5 linked regions of the Coturnix japonica genome follow. The protein of the gene in region 1 binds, or shares a complex with, the protein of each later gene. Links are inferred from orthologs where the notes say so. Each region holds a gene or a part of one and is shown in the gene's direction. Other genes may lie near its edges.

What was found.
Region 2: SF3A3 (region 1) and SF3B1 share a complex: the UniProt entries of both Homo sapiens proteins name them as parts of the 17S U2 SnRNP complex. The link is inferred for Coturnix japonica from reciprocal best matches to the Homo sapiens genes SF3A3 and SF3B1.
Region 3: SF3A3 (region 1) and DDX46 share a complex: the UniProt entries of both Homo sapiens proteins name them as parts of the 17S U2 SnRNP complex. The link is inferred for Coturnix japonica from reciprocal best matches to the Homo sapiens genes SF3A3 and DDX46.
Region 4: SF3A3 (region 1) and SF3A2 share a complex: the UniProt entries of both Homo sapiens proteins name them as parts of the SF3A subcomplex of the 17S U2 SnRNP complex. The link is inferred for Coturnix japonica from reciprocal best matches to the Homo sapiens genes SF3A3 and SF3A2.
Region 5: the proteins of SF3A3 (region 1) and SF3A1 are in contact, whole or in part, in an NMR structure (PDB 2DT7), measured with the Homo sapiens proteins. The link is inferred for Coturnix japonica from reciprocal best matches to the Homo sapiens genes SF3A3 and SF3A1. Residues at the interface, in NP_006793.1 of Homo sapiens: Glu80, Phe81, Glu83, Phe84, Tyr85, Arg87, Leu88, Ile91, Lys92, His95; in NP_005868.1 of Homo sapiens: Ala161, Phe162, Asp165, Val166, Leu169, Thr170, Phe173, Asn177, Phe181, Gln184, Leu185, Lys188, Phe195.

What each region holds. Positions count from the first base shown.
Region 1 is NC_029538.1:3,123,843-3,128,054, forward strand, and holds the start of SF3A3 (splicing factor 3A subunit 3), read left to right. Parts: upstream 1-1,403; 5' UTR 1,404-1,450; coding exon 1,451-1,546; intron 1,547-1,668; coding exon 1,669-1,716; intron 1,717-1,842; coding exon 1,843-1,895; intron 1,896-2,725; coding exon 2,726-2,831; intron 2,832-3,209; coding exon 3,210-3,282; intron 3,283-3,665; coding exon 3,666-3,757; intron 3,758-4,031; coding exon 4,032-4,114; intron 4,115-4,212. UniProt on the Homo sapiens protein: Component of the 17S U2 SnRNP complex of the spliceosome, a large ribonucleoprotein complex that removes introns from transcribed pre-mRNAs.
Region 2 is NC_029522.1:27,039-31,201, forward strand, and holds the start of SF3B1 (splicing factor 3B subunit 1), read left to right. Parts: upstream 1-1,353; 5' UTR 1,354-1,456; coding exon 1,457-1,484; intron 1,485-4,163. UniProt on the Homo sapiens protein: Component of the 17S U2 SnRNP complex of the spliceosome, a large ribonucleoprotein complex that removes introns from transcribed pre-mRNAs.
Region 3 is NC_029528.1:2,453,574-2,457,083, forward strand, and holds part of DDX46 (probable ATP-dependent RNA helicase DDX46), read left to right. Parts: intron 1-174; coding exon 175-292; intron 293-794; coding exon 795-960; intron 961-1,253; coding exon 1,254-1,405; intron 1,406-1,688; coding exon 1,689-1,802; intron 1,803-2,375; coding exon 2,376-2,541; intron 2,542-2,805; coding exon 2,806-2,926; intron 2,927-3,283; coding exon 3,284-3,459; intron 3,460-3,510. UniProt on the Homo sapiens protein: Component of the 17S U2 SnRNP complex of the spliceosome, a large ribonucleoprotein complex that removes introns from transcribed pre-mRNAs.
Region 4 is NC_029543.1:1,224,611-1,228,700, reverse strand, and holds the start of SF3A2 (splicing factor 3A subunit 2), read left to right. Parts: upstream 1-1,286; 5' UTR 1,287-1,343; intron 1,344-2,165; 5' UTR 2,166-2,216; coding exon 2,217-2,342; intron 2,343-2,747; coding exon 2,748-2,819; intron 2,820-3,138; coding exon 3,139-3,185; intron 3,186-3,788; coding exon 3,789-3,898; intron 3,899-4,090. UniProt on the Homo sapiens protein: Component of the 17S U2 SnRNP complex of the spliceosome, a large ribonucleoprotein complex that removes introns from transcribed pre-mRNAs.
Region 5 is NC_029530.1:9,656,239-9,660,310, forward strand, and holds the start of SF3A1 (splicing factor 3A subunit 1), read left to right. Parts: upstream 1-1,267; 5' UTR 1,268-1,356; coding exon 1,357-1,422; intron 1,423-3,225; coding exon 3,226-3,338; intron 3,339-4,072. Other genes in the region: coiled-coil domain-containing protein 157-like, read right to left, coding at 634-885. UniProt on the Homo sapiens protein: Component of the 17S U2 SnRNP complex of the spliceosome, a large ribonucleoprotein complex that removes introns from transcribed pre-mRNAs.

The sequences.
Region 1 (4,212 bases):
AAGCAGGCACGGAAATACTCCTCAGCACGCAGCCAGGCGAGCAGAGCCTTCACTGTGAGCCCAGCATTAACCACACACTGAGCTTGAAAAGCCACCCTACAGAGGGACACGGTGGCTCCTGCCACATGCTTTTGGGGCTCACTGTGGGCATCCCTCGCTGCCCTGTGGTTGAGGGCTCTCTCTTTCCAAACATTCTTTTCAGCTCCCTGCTGGAGGTCACCCATTTCCCAGCTGCAGGCATCTACATGCAGCGTCAGGTCATGGCTCCAGCACAGCCTCTTCTGAGCTCTTAAACCCAACATAAACCTGCCCCAGCAGCTCCTGCAGCCCTGCAGGGATGGGTCTGGAGACCAGGTGCAGCTGAAGGCTTGGACTTGGACCTGTGTGTGCTAACAAGCCCGGGTCCACTACTGTCCATACTGCCTGGGGTAGTGGGGAACCAGAGCTGAAGGTGAACTTTCTCCTTTGCCTCTGTTACGTGAGGTTAGGGATGTGGCTGAGCCCTTCAGGCATCCTGAATGCTCCTCCTGCTGTTATCCCTTCTTCCAGACCCTCAGCTAAGGTCCAAAAAGGTGGGGAGGCCGCAGAACTCACAGAGACAGCTTTATTCCTCAATATACTCAAGGATCATGTAGTTCCAACCCCCCTGCCTAGCAGGGCCACCAAACATACACATTTACTAGTTCAGGTTGCCCAGGAGACCCCATAGATCCCCATAGAGACCATAGAGACCCCATAGATCCCCATAGAGACCCCATAGATCCCCATAGAGACCCCATAGACCCCATAGATCCCCATAGAGACCCCATAGAGACCCCATAGATCAGGTTGCCCATGGCCCCGTCCAACCTGGCCTTGAACACCTCCAAGGACGGGGCATCCACAACCTCCCTGGGCAGCCTGTTCCAGGACCTAACCACTTTCCTAGTGAAGAACTTCCCCCTAACATCCAACCTAAATCTTCCCTCTTTTAACTTAAAACCATTTCCCCTAAGTCCTGACATCCTTCAGCCGTGATGTCCAAAGCCCATTAAGCACAACGTCTGTTCATCCCAGGAGCAACATCTGTAACCCCAAGGCAGGCAGGAAGGAGGCAGCACCGGACTGGACATGTTTTATTCTGCTTGGGCTGTGATTCATGGCTGTATAACGCTGCCCACAGCCACATTGAAGCTGGAGGCTTTCACCCCAGCCTGGGGGCACCTGCAGTGCTCTCAATCCTTACGACTTTATGGGTTTGAAGCGAGAGGTGTCAGAAAAGTTCCCACTTTTCTGGGATAACTGGGATAACTGGCTTGTGGCGGCCAGTGGATCTCACTGCTCTACACCTTCACATGGGCTAAAATCAACGCGGAACCACATTCAATCCGGATCAAGCGGCTCAGGGAAGGGGCCGGACCCTTCCGGTGTTACACAGCGAGCTTCTGGTTCCGGGCTGGAAGGGGAGAAGATGGAGACGATCCTTGAGCAGCAGCGGCGCTACCATGAGGAACGAGAGCGGCTGATGGACGTCATGGTGAAGGAGATGCTCACTAAGAAATCCACGGTGAGCCCGGGGATGGGAGTGGGGGGACACAGGGGGTGTGTGCCCGGGGAGAGGGGGGGGGGGTGTGGGGGGGGTAGGCCGGGCTCAGGCCTTCATTATTAACGCCGTTTATTTCTATGCAGCTCCGCGATCAGATCAACTCCGACCACAGGACTCGGGCTATGCAGGATGTGAGTGGGGTCGGGGTGTGAGTGGGGCTGGGGGTGGTTCGGGTAGCTGTGGAGGTGCAGGGCCCAGATTGGCCCCGGTTTGGTTGAGGTTCTTTGTGTCAACGTGAGGTTTGTGTTGTGTTTTAGAGGTACATGGAAGTGAGCAGCAACCTGAGGGACCTGTATGACGATAAGGATGGGTGAGTGTATAGCGGGCTGGAATGGACATGGGGCTGCCTTGGATCTGCTTTATACACCACAGACATGATGCTACAATGCAAAGCTGGGGGTCTGCCCTAAAGAGGAGGACCCAGATTTCACATGAAACATGCAACACAAACACTTCTCAAGCAGAAAGCACAGAGCAGTACTACAGCCCTGTCCCCCTTCCTATCCCCATATGGGGGTGGAGCTGATCCCCCACCACACTCCTACCTCCTCTCACCCAACCCCACCAGCTGTACCAGACCCTCTGGTATTGAATCATTGAGGGAGACGGTCTCTAACTGAGACTGCAGCGTTTGCAATAGAGATGTGACCCTGATCCTCAAAGCACAATCCTGGCTGCATGTGGAACATCAGTGGGTGTATGGGAGATTGGTAATCACAGCCTGAACCTCTGATTAATCAGCTGAGCCAAGTGTTGGGTCAGCTGTGGGAGCACAGGTGAGAGTAATTTAGCTGTTCCCCATAAAGGGGTGGAGCTTGACTTCACCTCCTCTAGACCTCATTGAAGGGCTGACCACCACTAATGCAGCATCTCTTGGTGATTGCTGCTTGGTAGTGATCACTTCAGTGGTTCCCAGCAGATCTAAGGCTTCCATATGGGTGAGCTTAACTTGTAAATAACCTTTTGGTTATTTACTACCATCTTTTCATTATTGTCCCCATATGGTGGGGCTGTGATTTCAGTCTCACTGGTGTTTTGTGGGAGCAGAATGCAGTGTTAGACTTCCAAACATTATACCAATATAAACCAACATAAACGTGTTTTCTATATGCAACCTGTCTTCTTTTTATGAACCTGTAGCTTACGGAAGGAGGAGCTCAGTGCCATTTCAGGGCCAAATGAATTTGCTGAATTCTATAACAGACTGAAACAAATAAAAGAGTTCCACCGCAAGCATCCCAATGAGGTAAGCAGCAGCTCCATAAGGATAACTGGTTTGTGGTGTGTTGGGCTTCATCTCTGCTGTATTAAAATGTCATTCAGGAAAACAAAGTGTCTAGAAATAGGTGATGCTTTGAGACTTTATATGAGCCTCTGTCTGAGTAGGAGAAAATGCAGGATGCTCACCATGTCCTCCACACTCTCTATTAGTTTAAGAGCATTCTGCTTCTGAGCTAGCATTCATTCTTGCCTGCCTAATGCTGTCTTTAGTGCAAATATAATCATGAAGAAGTGCTTGAAACACCTCTTCAGTTACTTGTTTTACTGTTTGCAGTCTGTATTAATTACTCCTGGGCATTAGCTGAACTAATCCCTTTTTCTATAACTTCTTCTGTTCCTGAAGATTTGTGTTCCAATGTCAGTGGAGTTTGAGGAACTGTTGAAGGCCAGAGACAACCCAAGTGAAGAAGCTCAAAGTAAGTCTTCAGGGTTTTGTTTGTTTCTTGTTTGAGGTTTGTTTAGTTGAGAACACATTGCTTGCCGTGATTTAGTGACCTGTCTGTTCTGCTTTGATTTCCACCTCCCTTTCCCTACATTAACCATAACAACTGTTTTAATTTCATTTAAATTCTTCTGGGCTGCAGCCACCCTGAAATATTCCACTGTTGAGATGGTTCTTTTGGGGGATGGTCTGATATAACACTAGGAAGCTGGTGGCCATCTAGTCGATGAGTATCCATTTGCATTATAAACATGCTTAAGAAAGATAAACTAGTCTGCAGTTCAGCTTCTAAAGCATGCATATAACAAGCAGAGGATGTTGAGTTTGTAACAAAGCCCTGCGTGCTCTTTCCTGCAGACCTGGTGGAGTTCACAGATGAAGAAGGGTATGGAAGATACTTAGATCTGCATGATTGCTATCTCAAATACATTAATCTGAAATCATCAGAGGTAAGTGGTTGCAGTAGTGTGGGCACTCTGTTGTATTGCACTTCAGTGCTGAGGGCTCAGTGGTCTGTTTTAAATGTCATTTATTTCCAAATAGCTGTTTTATGGTGCTTGTTTTGCATTGTGTTAGAAAGCACACTGTAAACCCCAGCCCTGTGCAGACCATGCAGAATAAAGGCATGAGCTTTGTGCTTTTCTTCTAGTCTGGTGACTGGAAATTGGTTGCTGATATGCTGTGTGTATCTAAAGTCTGAATCAAACTTCCTTTCATTCTTAGAAACTGGATTACATCACTTATCTGTCTACATTTGACCAACTCTTTGACATCCCCAAAGAGAGAAAAAACGCTGAATATAAGAGGTGAGTCTTTTTCCTGCCTGCTTCATTCATGAAAGTAGTTGATGAGAAGGAATTTGCTTCTCAAGTGTCCAGGAGCAGAGTTAGTAATCAAGCAGAGG
Region 2 (4,163 bases), on another chromosome or scaffold:
TCTTAATAGTTTTGTGGCTGTAAAAATTGAATTAGTTGTTCTTCGAAGATTAGCAGGAGGCAGTAGCTGTGAGCATTGGGCTACTTGAGTGAACCAGTGGCAATGGCACAATTGAATGGGTAAATCAAGGACAGGCGTGACTGGGCAATGCTTTTTGGTACCAGCTACTGATAGCATGGGCTGGCCATGACATTGGACCTGAATCTGTTAATTAAAGCAAGACCATGCCAGCTTGTTATTTAGGTATGACACTATGTGGAAAGCTTCTGGGCTCTTAAAACCAATATCTTTCCAATCCATATAGAAACTTCCATTTTCCACACAACACAGGACTCCTTTTGTGAGGGGAAATGGCATCTTCCAAAACCACATGTTAAAAGTGTACCTTAGGATCGCAACCCTTGAGCTCAGTTCTGTTTAATAACAGTGGGAATGTGATATAAAGCAAGCTGGAAGTCAAGCTGAAGAAACAAGAGAAAGTTACTGCAAATTGATCTTCGTGGTGAACCCAAGCATGTGACGGTTACTTAAAATAGTTGCAGGCATTAAATTCCTGTAGTAGGGAATTAGTGTCTGCCTTGACCTTATCCTCACACGTCTCTCAACAGCTCGGTATATATCTCTGTTCCATAGCCTACGAGTGCAGGATGTGAGTTTAATAATACTAAAGAGCAGATCCTCTGTGCTTTCACATGAATCTCAAGTATATTTCAACACATGCAGTTATGCAAAGTATTACAAGCACTGAATTGCTCAGTAAACTTCTGTAAACTAAGCGATAAAAAAGCAAATGCAGACACAGGGATGGACTGACTGATCAAACTCATGTTCTCAAACACAAAACATTGGCTTTAAGTCAGACTTGGATCTCAGGTCAGTGTTGGTGCTTCATGTGGGCTAGACTTTGCATATAACATGGCTATTAGCAGTGCTAGGATTGGATTTACTCCTGCTGTGGCTCCACGCTGCGATGGATACATGTTTACTATCAACCCCTGGCTATATTCTCAGCGCTCTATGTGGAGCACAGGCATTATGGAGCATTAGTGCATGTGGAGCATTAGGCAAACAGCAGCTCAGCATTAACGTACAAACCGCCGCCATCTTGCGGCAGAGGCCCCGTAGCACGCAGTGCTCAAGCCACATCCCCACCCCTCCGCCTCGCCGCACCGCTATTGGCCACTTGTCTTCCACGCCGCATTCCTATTGGCTGGCAGAGACGTCAGTCAGACGGAGGACGTGGCTCCGATCTCGGCCTGCGGGGCCGCCCGGCCGCCCGAGTGGCGCTTTTGGCCGCCGTCACTGCGCTTGCGCAACGCCCCAGCCCTCGGCCAGCCGCGGCGCGGCCCGCAACTGCGCGTGCGCAGTACTGCCTCGCCTCCCTCCTCCCCCCCCCCCCGAGCGGAAGCGCTGGGGCCGCGGCAGTTCCGTGTCGGTGTTGTTGGCGCTGGACAAAATGGCGAAGATCGCCAAGACCCACGAAGGTAAAGGGCTGAAATCCGCTCCTGGCGGTTCTTTTTTAAGCTGCGTGCACCTTTCGCGTCTTCTAATCCCGTTATACTCCGTCCGCAGCCCTCAGTGGTGCCGGGGTTATGGCTGCCGGGCCGGGCCGGGCCCGCTCGTAATGGCGTCGCCGCCCATATGAGCGCCATGGCCGGGCCGCCCGGCGCTGCGGGGTTGTGCGGGCGGTGCGGAGCGCCGTGCTGCCATTGATAGAACGGCGCCATCCCGACGGCAGCTACAAGATGTCGCCCGCCGAGGTGCCCCCCCTTGGTCGGGAGGCGCCATGTAGAGAGTGCTCGGTGCCGCCGCTGGGCGGGTCCATAGCGGAGCTGCTGTGGCGGGGGCTCTCCCTGCTCCCCGCACGGCTTCCCGGGCGGCATCGCTTGTGGGCGTCTCGAAGCAAACAAAGCCAGTTGTTAGCATTAGCTCTGTGCGATTGCTGGCCTGCTTTTCCTCCTGTGTGTGTGTGTGTGTGTGTGTGGCGGGTGAGCTGCGAGAGGCCGTGTTAGTTACTGTTAGTTGCTATTAACGGTGCAGTGAGACAAGAGGAGGAGGAATATGGGCACAAAGGGTTGGAGTTTTTGAGTGAACTCTGTCCAGATGTAGCCCTGTTGTATGATGAGAAACTGCTGATCGATTTAATGTAAACTATGTGTTTAAATGCTTGGAAGACCTGATCTTCAGGCGGTTTCAGATTGTTTTCTGTATTAAATCCCTTGGGTTTGTTCCTGAGGCAGGAAGGGCTGTGTGCAGACGGACAGCTCAGAGCTCTCCAGCTTATAAGTAAGATCAATTTCAAAGTATGCGGAGATCTGAGGAAGCAACATCCTACGGTCCAAGGTTTAAAGTCCTACGTTCCCTTAACACCCTCGCTGCAATCTAAGTATATGCAGTGTATGTTTTACCAGGCTGTAACGTAAGAAGGGAAGTTTGGGTCCCATGTTTCTTGCACCACGTTATTTTTAAATGCTGTAACCATGTGAGTGTTTCTTTCACTGTGAGGACTTGGTTGGATTCACACACTTGGTGTAGTGTCCTTCCAGTGTCTTCAGTAGCACTGGAAGCCTCAGGTATTTCGTTTCACCCCAGTGCTGCATTGCAGCAAGCTGCAAACAAAATCAAGAACTTGATCTGCCCTTTGAAGTAGACAAGAAACTAGAAACACGTAACAAACCTGGCGGGGTCAAAGTGCTTCTTGGAGTTGTTTTGGTTTCACAGTCGAGTGATGGGACAACTGTGCAAAAATGAAATGCCTGAAGGAGTTGTTGGTTGATGGAGTACGTGTGGGATGTCTCTGAAGTTTCTTTCTGGTATTTATTAATTATTTATTAATGTACTTAGGAGCACAATGTCTGCAGTCCTGAAGAACCTGTGCTGGGAAGCTGGATGCACAGGCAGAGTTCAGCTGGGGCTGATGGCCAGCAATATAAGGCTTTCGTTGGGCTTCAGCTCTCATGAATCTCCGGGCAGGTAGCTGGGTTCCTTCAGTGTGGAGGTGACTGTGCCCCACGTAGCTATTAAGCTCTGGCCAGCCTGCAGCTGAATTAATGATGATTTTATCTTTATTCTTAACTTTCTTAATTTGTATTCATAGGCATCTTCTGCAAGCTGCCTCTGAGGAAAAGTATTGTGAGATATATTAGTCCTGAAGAAGATAGAAGATGAGCAACAGTAGTAAATAGCTCAGGAGCGTGTGGTAGAGTTTCTGGGTGATTTGCTAGTGTAACTTCTATGCAGCTTTTGGAAATGGATGAATTTCCCTCCAATTAACATCATAGGCAGTAGGACTTCAGATGGGGAGGGGGAAGCACAGAATTGTTGAGGTCAGAAAGGGCATTTGAGATCTAGTCCAGCCCCTGCAAGCATGAGCCTTGCTATTCTTTCACCCAACAAGAGCAAATACAGATGAAAACAATTATTTTAGTGGAATTATGTGTTTCCTTGTTGTGCCTGAGTCTTGATCTTGTTTATTGAAGGCAACTGAATGACCACAGCTGATTTGCCTGTTGCTTTTACCAGTGCATGGGAGGGAGATTGGTTAAATTTGATTCCTTGGTGTTGGGGATTACTGACTTAGTGTTCTCTCAAACGGTGCCAAAGGTGCCAAATTGCTGAGGTCGGTGACTGACCCCAGGGGTAATGGGTGTCAGATCCTGATATGTTGGGAGTGCCAAAGCTCCTGTTGGCCCTCATTAATGGATAGGCAAACAGTTCAGCAGAGCAGTGGTCTCTTCGCAGGTGGTGGCAGAGGCAGGAGTTGTCTCAAGCTGGTTACATTGAGCTGCCTGAGATGGGAGCTGTGGCTGAACTTCTGCCTGTGTTGTCAGGCTGTTTTGTTGGTTCAAACGTAATATAGTGTTGCAGCATAGTGGATATTTTATTCTTGAATAAGGTGTTCTTCTGTTGCACGTTCCCATGTGTCTACTCACACGCTTCCTCCTTTAAACAGGTTTCTTTTAATAAACTGATTGTGCTGATTTATCGATGGTAACATCTCAGTAGCTGCTTTTAATGAAAAGATTACATTAATTGACAAAGCCCTGTACCATCTAGTGTTGAAAAATACTGTTGTGCTGTAATTACCTTCCCCACCATCGCTTTGGAAGATCGGATGGGTTAATGGTAATAGTTTTGAATGGTTTGCTTCAGACCACAATACA
Region 3 (3,510 bases), on another chromosome or scaffold:
GTAGGGCATGTTTCCATAAAGCAGAGAAAGATTCTCTAAAGAGATAATGTGCACTTCATAAGATGTTTGAAAACACAGCCCCATTCAGTGTGTTCGTGGTTTTGTTTCTATCCAACACGTTTATTCCCCCGTGAGAAAAAAATGTTTTAAGAAATCTTTGCTGTTACCTTTCAGATCAAGATCTAAAGAAAGGACAGAAGGTGTGGAAGTTTCCAAAGAAAAGAAAAAAGAGAAAGATGACAAGGAAGAAGAGAAGGATAAAGATGCTGGTGCATCTACTGTGGCCACTGAGGTAGGAGCTCTGAGGATAATCTTCTAACTTTTAAATGTATAAACAAGGAACTGAGGTAGCCATAGATTACTGTATTAACAAAAAAAAAAACTATTCTCAGGATTGGCCAAAATCCCTGCTGAGTTAATGAGTCCCACTCTCTTCTATAACTCCTGTCACAGGGTGTGCTTCCAATTCTTGCCATTAGTAACATTCTGTTTCTACTGTGCTGTCAGCAAGGGCTCCCCATGCATAGATGGGTCCCTTTTTTTGTTGTTCTTGAAGGATTATTACTTACAGAATTGTATACGTGCTACTGTTGTGAAAAATAAAACAGCTGAGTTTTGTATTTTAAAGCACTGTAGCTGCTTTTAGTGTTTTTTGTTTACTCCTGTTGTGATAGGTTTCTGTATGCCCATGGATCAACTTGGTGCTCAGTTACATTTGTTTGGAAAGGCTTTTTGACTGAAGAATAGACAAATGCCAGTGGCCATTAATTTTCACTGGTTGTTTCTTGCCATAGAATTTTGATCAGAACAAACTGGAAGAAGAAATGAGAAAACGAAAAGAAAGAGTGGAGAAGTGGAGGGAAGAGCAACGCAAGAAGGCAATGGAGAACATAGGAGAACTGAAAAAGGAAATTGAGGAGATGAAACAGGGGAAAAAATGGAGTTTGGAAGATGATGATGGTATTTTGATTTTAGATGTAACATTTAAAACACGTTTGTTCCTGATAATATTTTTATTATCTTTAAAGCATTTAAAGACTTTTCAAAAAGTGAACTATGAAATAGCAAAGCCTAAACCTTGTCACGGCTTCAAACATTTTAAGGTAGTGTTGAGATTAACAAATTTGAGAGATTTTTTAATGAAGAAAAATGATACAGTAATAAAAATGGACAGTAATTATTTGGGCAGGCTAACAATGTAACATAGAGTTATTTCCTCTCTGTTTTATTCCTGTTTTTCTTAATCATATTAGATGATGATGAGGAAACTGCAGAAGGAGAAAAGGAAGGCAATGAGGTTGAAGATGAAGAATTAGATCCTTTGGATGCTTATATGGAAGAAGTAAAAGAAGAAGTCAAGAAGTTCAATATGAGAAGTGTGAAGGGTGGAGGTGGGAGCGAAAAGGTAAAATTGAAAGTAGCTTTGTGTTTCAGTATGGAAATGGTTTTGGAAAAAAGAAGGGAAGAAATAGGTTAGATCCATTCAGTGATTGTTTGCCTTGAATTTTCTGATGTTATTAATAAGCTGATAGCAATATCCTCATAAAATTTCACTGCAAGAGATGTATGAAAAAACAGTGTAATATGTTCATAAGTAGAAATATTCTGTATATTTCATACAGCATGTCTTTTATGAGTGATGCAATGATTTCTATTAACTTTTTTTCTTTTTCTTTTCTTTTTTGCAGAAATCTGGACCAACTGTTACCAAAGTGGTAACCGTGGTGACAACCAAAAAGGCAGTTGTAGAGACAGAAAAGAAGAAAGGGGAACTCATGGAGAATGATCAAGATGCAATGGAGGTAATGGAAGTGTCTTGTGAGTATGTATGTGGCAGCTCAGCCTGCATGTTCTAATACATATCTAATATGAAATAAATGTTTTCTGAGGGTTTGCATTTCTGTTTCTTTTCTAGGTAAGTATAAATATGTTTAATTCCAAATGAACTGTAAGTTCCAGGTCTCAAAACTCTTCTTAAACGATAATTCTTTATTTATTTTGTGTCTGACAAATTAGTGGCATGTAGTGGCATAGTAGCTATTCTATACACTCAAATTATTATTTTTTAAATACTGTTCTCTTAATATTTGTACTGTATAGCTATGATTATTTCTGAATGACGGGACTGTTCTAGTTAGTATTTATAAAGTCATAGAAGTGATATGGAACAGTGAAAGTTAAGGTTTGGAAGAAATATGAAATAAATTGATGAGCAAATGATATGGGCTCCTCTCACAGTGAGAGCAGATTTTCAGTATCCAGTTTAATGGGCTAAGAAAAAGCTTTTGCTTCTGAGTCAAGTTTCTGTATAAACAAGTAACAGCATCTCAGAATGTCATTCACAGTAACTTAAACACTCTTAACAATCTATACAGTATTCTTCAGAAGAAGAGGAAGTTGATCTTCAGACTGCCCTGACTGGCTATCAGACCAAGCAGAGAAAGCTGCTAGAACCTGTGGATCATGGAAAAATAGAATATGAACCCTTCAGGAAAAACTTCTATGTTGAAGTACCTGAACTCGCTAAAATGACACAAGAGGGTAAGTACAAGTATGAGCAGAACACATTCTAGTGTGCAAGGAAGTAGCAAATTCTGATTCAGTGTGGAGTGCTCTTGAAGGAGCAAAGAAGTGCTGTACAGCTCAAGTCTTTGGAGTAATTTTGTTGAGAATTTGAATGGGAGAGGGGATTCTTTTTGAGCAACAGAATGAAAATGAGTCAGATCCCTATTACCGATAACCCCATGCTATCTCAAGGTAGCAGATGTCATGTTTGACTCTGTTCTAATGCAAACTCTGTTTCAGAGGTGAATGTGTACCGACTGGAGATGGAGGGAATAACAGTCAAGGGAAAAGGCTGCCCCAAACCAATAAAGACCTGGGTTCAGTGTGGTATTTCCATGAAGATTCTTACTGCTCTCAAAAAGTAAGCAAGCGATGTACAACCCAAGTCATGCTTGGTTTTGTCTACTCTGTTCTATCATACATATGTTAGTGAGAAAAACGTTCTTTGTTGCATAAAGCAACGTGTCCATGTCTGCTGGTGTTACATGTTTAGTCCTCAGTCATTTTGCAGTCAGTATTAAACGGTTGTTACAAACTGTTCTTTCAGCCATTTGTATCATGTGACTGCTCATTTTTAAGATGTTTTTAGAGTGACACCGATGCTTAGAAGTAAATAAGAACGTGCACATTTCTTCTAGCATGACTGTGATATATGTCCATCAAATCATATTTTGATCTTACAATCTCTTTTTTTGACGTTTCTCTCCCCTTCTTTAAGACACGGCTATGAGAAACCCACGCCCATTCAGAGCCAAGCTATCCCAGCAATTATGAATGGTCGCGACTTGATTGGCATTGCTAAAACAGGAAGTGGAAAAACTATCGCCTTTCTATTGCCCATGTTCAGGCATATTATGGATCAGAGAGCTTTAGAAGAAGGAGAAGGTCCCATAGGTACAAAGCTCTTGTTTTCAGAATTGCTATTTAAGTAAACAAAAGCTCGTT
Region 4 (4,090 bases), on another chromosome or scaffold:
AAGCAAAAAGGTGCGTGTGTGTATCTGTGTGTGTGTGAGGAGCAGCAGGATCCGAACCTCAGCTTCATCCGTCCTGAAGTAGAAGAGAAAGTTCACCACGAGCTTCACGAGGCGCTTCTTTAACACTGAAGAAGGAAAGGAGTGATGTGACAGCGAGCCCAGCGTGTGTGGGGCCCCCAAACCATCCCAGCACTCCCAGCATCTCCATTTCCATCCCAGTGCTTCCACCCCAGGACTTCCATTGTCATCCCAGCGCTCCTATCCCAGTACACCGTTCTGATCCCTGTGCTTCCATCCCAATACTCCCATCCCAGCACCTCCAGCTCCATCCTAATACCCCAATCCCAGCACCCCCAGCTCTGACCCAGTACTCCCATCCCAATACCCCCAATTCCATCCCATTACCACCATCCCAACACCCCCAGCTCTATCCCAACACCCCCATCCCAATACCCCCAGTTCCATCCCATTACCCCCATCCCAATACTCCTGTCCCCACCCCAACACCCCCAGCATTATCCCAATACCCCCATCCCATTACCCCCATCCCAATAACCCCAGTTCCATCCCATTACCCCCATCCCATCATCCTATCACCCCAACACCCCCATCCCCATCCCACCCCCAGCTCATATCCAATACCCCCATCCCAATACCCCATCCCAAACAAAACCCCAGCTCTGCCCCAGCACCCCCATTCCAACAGCCCCATCCTAATACCCCCAGTTCCATCCCAATACCCCCATCCCAACACCCCCAGGCTCTATGCCAATACCCCATCCAATACCCCAGTTCCATTCCCAATACCCCCATCCCAATTACCCCAATTCCATCCCTTACCACCATCCCAACACCTCCAGCTCTATCCAACAACCCCCATCCCAACACCCCAGCTCTTGCCCCAGCACCCCCAATTCCAACAGCCCCATCCCAATACCCCCAGTTTCCATCCCATTACCCCACCCCATCCCACCCCCACCCCATTACCCCCATCCCACACCTCAATCCATCACTCCCCATTCCCACCCCCAATTAACCCCCCCATCTTCCACCCTCACCCCCTTCCCACCCCCCCCTCTACCGCTGCCCCTTCTTGGGGACCCTCATCATGGATCTCTGCCGCTTTCTCTGCCGGTTGCCTGGACAGGACAGCAAGCTCCCGTTCGTTGTACCTCATGTCGGACCCCAAACGACCACCCCAACCCTACAAACCACCCCTAACCCTACAACCACCCCAACCCTACAACCACCCATACCCGACCCGGTAGTGCTCTATCCGGAACTAGAGGGGATGGAAGGGGGAGGGCAGAGCGCATGCGCCGGGAGCGGGGCTGAGCACGGCGGTATGGGGGATTTAGGGGGAGGGGATGTGGGGCTTAAAGGGGGGATATGGGGGAGTGAGACCCTCATTGAGGGGATGGGGTGGTCTGGAGGGGGGTCTTGGGCCCTGTGGGGGATTGTTTCGGGGCAGTGACCGTCGCTAAGGGAATAAGGGCCTGTGGGGCCTATAGAGCCTGTGGGGCCTATGGAGCTTATGGAACCTGTGGGGCCTGTGAGGCCTATGGAACCTGTGGGGGCTGTGGAGGCTGTGGGGCCTATGGGGCATGTGCAGCCTATGGGGCCTATAGAGGCTGTGGCATATGGGCCTATTTGGAGCCTGTGGGGCCTATGGAGCCTGTGGGGCCTATGGAGCCTGTGGGGCCTATGGAACCTATGGAGCCTGTGGGGCCTATGGAACCTATGGAGCCTGTGGGGCCTATGGAACCTATGGAGCCTGTGACCTGCACTGGAGAATGAGGGGGGTGAGGGGGCTTAGAGGGGTTCTTAGTGGAGGGACAGGACCCTCCAAAAGGAAACTGGGGGGCTATAAGTGGCATGGAGAGTTCGGGGGGTGTTTGTAGGGGGCTTTGAGGTGAGCTTTGGTGCTCGCTGAGGGAATGGGGGTGTTTAGAGGGGGGTGAGGGGGTGTCTGGGGGGTTGTGACCCCCATGTTAGTGGCTGGGGGGTGTGTGACCCTGTGTGAGAGGGTAGAGGTGGGCTGGGGGTGGTTTTGTCTCTTGCTGAGGTAATGGCAGTGCCTGGGCCGTGTCCTCGTGGCAGGGCTCAATGCGAGGCCCAGCTTAGGGCTGTGTTGTCACTTATGTGTCTTTTCTTCATTTTTCCAGACTTTTATTTTATTTTTCTCCTGAAGTCTCCAAAGCCCAGAAATCCCCACCATGGATTTTCAGCACCGTCCTGGAGGTAAAACGGGGAGTGGAGGCGTAGCTTCAGCCTCAGAAAGCAACCGAGACCGCAGGGAGAGGCTTCGGCAACTGGCTTTGGAGACCATTGACATCAACAAGGTGAGCCCCAGTCCTGCAGGCTACATGGGGTGAGGTCAGGGCTTCATCTCAGCAGAGAGTGAGAGGTTTAGTGGGGATCTGTGGAGTGGAATAAATACTTCTGTTCCCACTGATGAGGGACTCGAGCAACATGTGGAAGGGCCAAGCAGAGGGATACCAGCACTGGGCTTCTGTTATGTTCAGTCTTGGCACTGGTTCTTATTATGCTGCAGTTGGGTGTGCTGTTACCAGTGAACACAACTGCTCTTGTTCCTTTTTCTCTATATTCCTAAAGCAGTGTTGTGCTGATCCCTTCACTCCATGAGCTCATAGAGTTCTTACAGTGCAGCTCTGCTTTAGAATCTCGGTTGTTCAGTTGTTCCAATGCAGATTTTACATGTAACTTTTCAATCCTTCTCTTCCTAGGACCCCTATTTTATGAAAAATCACTTGGGTTCTTATGAATGCAAGCTTTGCCTGACGCTCCATAACAATGAGGTGAGTTGAGCAGCTGTCTGTCTTGATCTCCATGGCAGCAGATATTTTAGACTAATTCTAGCTCCAAGTGCTGGAACCGAAGCTGTTCCCGTTGGCTGATTGCTGGAGGGCCAATGGGGGGAGCAGAGGCTGTGTGTGTTAAGCATGACAAGTTTCTGACAGTTCAGCAGTTGTGAGCAATCTGAAATTTGTGAGTTTGATTCTGCTGTGCTCTGAGGATTAAAATATCTTTGTCAGTGTGAAATGTCACCTCTCATCTGTGACAAATATCTTTCTGTTCAGGAACAGTTCAGTCTTCATAACTTTCTTTTCCCCCCAGGGAAGTTACCTGGCACATACGCAGGGGAAGAAGCATCAGACCAATCTGTAAGTCATTCTCCACCGTGTTATTCTCCATTACTTGGGCACATTAAAATTAGATAATGAGCACCTATAAATCTTGGCCTCCATCATGTAGTAGCACTCTGGGCTTGAATGCTCTTTGTCTCTGTTTGTTTCCTAGGCATTCACCAGCTCTGCTCTGAACAGTGGTGCTGACAAGCTCCACTTCAAAGCCAGCTATGGCATTTAGATTAAGTATAACTGTAAGGGAAGCTGTTTTATGAATACAGCTTGAGAAAAGTTTGTAAGCTTTAATCTAAGAATTCAGGTTTGCTCTGCTTTAGATACCTGGCTTGTGTAATTCATTTCCTTTTTGACTTTTAAGAAGTCATCTCAGCTCCATCTGTGGAGCTGGACATCAAAGTCCTCTTAGGAGTGGGTGAGGTGATGGAGGTGACAGATTGTAGTCAAGGCAAGGAGTGGAACTGGCCTCCCATGGTGCTTGTGGAGGAGGAGCAGCAGTTTCCCATTATGCTTTCTGTGAAGTGCTGAATGCTCCGTCATACAGAACTCACTCTGCCTTTTAGAGTATCCTTCAGAACCAAGTGCTGATAACCATTTAACACTGCGCGTTTCCAATGAACCCAGGGCTCGTCGAGCTGCCAAGGAAGCAAAGGAAGCTCCTGCCCAACCTGCACCAGAAAAAGTCAAAGTGGAAGTGAAGAAGTTTGTGAAAATTGGACGACCAGGTTACAAAGGTTTGTCAGCAGTGCCTGTCATAGCAGATACCCCGTGGCTGCTGGAGCTTGCTTGAAGTGCAGTGCTGTGGGCATGAATTGTTCATCAGCCTTTTTAGCAGAGCTATCCATAAATAAGATATGGGCTTATCTCCTGATGTCCTTTATTGTTTAAATTACCCATGGGTTGTCTCTTTATTGCTGACAGTCGAG
Region 5 (4,072 bases), on another chromosome or scaffold:
TAGGACCAGGTATCCAAAGACAGATCTGAGGGCACGACTCATCTTTAAAATTGAGATGTTTTCATAGAATCATAGAAAAGCTTGAGTTGGAAGGGACCCCCACAGTCAGTAAAAGCTGGTGGACAAAAGAACTGAGCACAGCCCCGACAAAAAGGACCTGGGGGTACTGGTGGATGGCAGCTGGACATGAGCCAGCACTGTGCCCTCACAGCCTGAAAAGCCAACTGTATCCTGGGCTGCATCCAAAGCAGTGCAGCCAGCAGGGTGATGGAGGGGATCTGCCCCTCTGCTTTGTGAGACCTCACCTGGAGTGTTGCATCCAGATGGGGAGTGCTCAGTGCAGGAGAGACACAGAGCTGTTGGAGCATAGCCAGAGGAGGGTCAGAAAAAGGGACTGAGACACTCGAGACCAGGCTGGACAGGGCTCTGAGCACCCTGATGTAGCTGTGGGTGTCTCTGTTCGCTGTGGGGGAGTTGGACCAGATGGCCTATCAATGATTTTGTGATTCTTTGACCTCAAAGACCACCCAGTTCCAACCCGCTGCCCAAAGCACTTGGCAGCATCACACATCTTCTCTCCGTGGGGAAGGAGCTGCTGTGCCCCTGCTGCTCTTTGCAGGGTGCTGTGCCCGCTCACCTGTCTATCACCAGCTCCAGCAGCACCACATGCGCATGCTGGCTGAACTCAGGATCCCCCTCGGCGTGACTGTACCGCTCCAGCAGCGCCAGCAGGTCCAGCTCACAGGACACTTTGTTGGGGAACTTCCAGGATGGGAATCGTGCAGGGCCGGTGCGGGAGGTGACGTCGGCGATGGCTCCTTGCAGGTCCCTCAGGTCGGCCTGCAGGCTCGCCATGCAGCCGGGGTGGCCCAGGAGGTGAGCCATGGGTGGACAGACAGACGGACAGATGGATGGACCAGCGCTGGGAACGGATGGTGGGTGACACCAAAGGGCTGCCAGCAGGATGGAGGGGACAGGCGCTGCGTCCCCAAGGCTGTATGATTTGGGGTGAGGGGTGTCTAGGCAGCGGCCTGCAGGGAGCTGCGGGAGGCGAACAGCAGCGCTGTGTGCGCTGAGGGCGCTGGGACGCCGGGACGGTCCCACCGGCTGCAGGTGATGCTGGAGGCGGCCGCCTGGGACTAGGCCGCGGCGCCGCACCCGCTGCCATGGCAACGCCCCGCCCGCACGAGCGGAACCACCCTCTGCGCATGCGCTCCTCCCCTCTGCGCCTCCTTCCTGTCGCGACGTTGAGCGTCACTTCCGGCGCGCATGCGCAGTTCGAGGTGCCTGTCCGCCATTTTGTCAGCGTCTCGGCGCCTTCTTTGCGGCCTTGTCTGAGCGGTCTGTTGTATCGCCATGCCGGCTGGGCCTGTGCAGGCCGGGCCTCCGGCGCAGCCAGCGCCGCCTGCAGAGAGCAAACCGGTAGGAACCGCGGCATGGAGGCTTCGGGCCTGTGGGCGGGATTTAGCGAGGGCTGCATGGCCGATACGGGGCTGGGTGACCGGCCACCCCGGGGTTTAATGCCTGTGACGGGGTGCGGCCCCATGTGAATGTACCGTCGCGTTGTTATGGTGGAGTTAACGAGGGAGCGCAGCGTTGTGGTCGTTTAAAAGCAGCGCTTAATGGTGGTGTTACACCGCCCTTCCATCTGCTGCTTGGAGGAAGTGGGGGTGAATGCTCCAAGGGGTTGTTGTGTCTTTCTTTTAACGTCTTTTATAGATCTTTAAGGTTGGGAAAAGCCGCAAAGATCCCCATGTCCGACCCCAGCCGGCCTCCACCGTGCACACTGCCCACGTCCCTTAGTGCCACAGCTCCATCATCCTGGGGCACCTCCAGGGATGCTGACCCCCCCCTTTGCTCTCTGTGCAGCCTTTGGCACTGCATCACCGCTTTGTGGAGAACAACTATTTCCAAATCTCCAATGTTTTGGGTGTTTTTGTTTTGTCTGGCAGGCTTTTAGTTACCATCAAGATGTCCCCTGTATCTGTGCTGTGAGGGAAGGGAGGCACCGTCAGCATCCTACAGAGAACTGCAGCTGGCTGTGCTGGGAGGCAGAGCTGCCCTTGGGGTGATTGCTGGGGCTGTGGTGCAGGTCCTCCCACAACCACAGGGAGGAAAACACTCAGCTGAGCTCTTCTCAGCTCTAAAAAAAGCTTTAAAGCCCTAGTAGGATGGGATGCTATGTGTTATTTACTGTTGGCTTGATCGTTTAGATTCCCATTTCTGGTAGCCCTGCAGACCGTTAGGAATCATAGAATCATTAAGTTTAGAAGAGAGCTCTAAGATCATGTAGTCCAGCTGTCACCCCATCCCCTCTATACCCACTGACCACTTCCCTCTGTGCCACATCCACATGTTTCTTGAAAGCTTCCATGGTCAGTGACTCCAGCACTTCGTGGGCAGCCTGTGCCAGTGCAGCACTGCTCCTTCCGAAAAGAAATATCTATGAATATCCAACCTGCAATGCTTGTAACTTCCAGAGCTGTCCAGCAATACTGAATTCTTCCTGGGTGTGGTGTTATAGGCATGCTTTGCTACATCTTGGCTCAACATCTATAAACTTCCACTGGGTTGAGGCTGAAAGAGCAGAAACACTGGGAAGAGTTGTTTGGTTCCCATGGGATGGCCTTCCTGCTTGTCTCACTCGCAGCAGCCCCCGCAGCAGGTGCCCTTGGCAGGCTGACAAACACCATCTCCTCGCCTGGGAAGCTGCTGAGTGCTGCTGCTTTGCAGGACTACAGGTTCAGATTGTTAAACTATATCTTCGTGCCACGAAAATGTCATGGTCTGAGGAGAACAGGCAGTTCTGTCTGCTGCAGGAGTTGCTGTTTGAAATGCTTAATTCTTCCAGAGCACTCCTTCAGCATGGTATTTCAGAACAGCTTTTTAAGGTACCATAGGACTGTTACTCAAGGTACAGAAACTGAAAGAGAAAGGGAAGTGAATTTTACAACTCAACTCACTAAAAATAAACACAATCAAAGTTTGGACACTACCAGGCTGTGTTTGCACACTCTGATGCTGATGTATGATGTGATATTCGAGATCATTTGTAGCTCCTTTGCTTGTTACCATGTTAGATTTAGGCTGTTTGAATTTACTATCTTGACTAGTGGCAAATACTGCAGAGTGAAATGTGTCTTCCAGAGATGGTGGTTCAGGAATGTTTTTGCTACTTAGGAGGTAGCAATACATAAGACTGTAAGAAAAATGTTTTTCTTGCAGCCAGAAGAGGAGCCAAAAGAGGAAGCAGCACCAGCCAAACCTGTGGTGGGAATTATTTATCCTCCTCCCGAGGTCAGGAATATTGTTGACAAGACTGCCAGCTTCGTAGCCAGGTAAACAGCAGTGGTGTTGTCTTGTCTTTCATGGGAATTTTCTGCCTCTCACCTTCCAGTGCTACTGTCTGTGTGTCTCCAGAAGCTGAAACAAATCACAGTCCCACAGCGTTCCCTGGAGGTTTCTAAGGATTGAATTTTTATCAGTGAGATTGTAGAATAGAGGCAGCAATTGTCTCCTTGGAGATTTAATATGTGCTTTGCTAGAAAAGCTGTGGTAGTAAATAAATTCTTTTTAAAATGACCTGGAGGGCAAACAAAATTGCAGGTGGAAAGGAAGCCTTGTTTGTTACTAGCACTTATTGAATGACTAAGCCAACAGGAGTCATTCATTTATTTTTACTCTACTTTACATTGTGTGGGCAATTACCTCTCCTTTAGGGTACACTAGGTTCCTTGTTGGACCCTGAGGCTCAGTCCCATCCCTGTTCACCTACAACTTCATGAAGTGTGCCAGCACCTGGGGCACTCTGACTCAGCTGTCTCTTCCCTTCTATAGCCAAGGGGATAGAAGTGCATGTTCCCAGGGAGAGGTCTGGGGTAGGTGAACTGCCCATGATGTGCATGGCATATTTATCCTAGTTTAGTGCAGCAGGTTGATTATCACAAGTATAGATGTCACAGTTAGGGGAGAAGCCTGGAAGTTTAATACATCTTTATTCATTTGGGCTTTTTCCTCCTGTTACCAACATGAAAACATAAACTGCTGGTGTTAGCCAGGCCATCTTAAAATG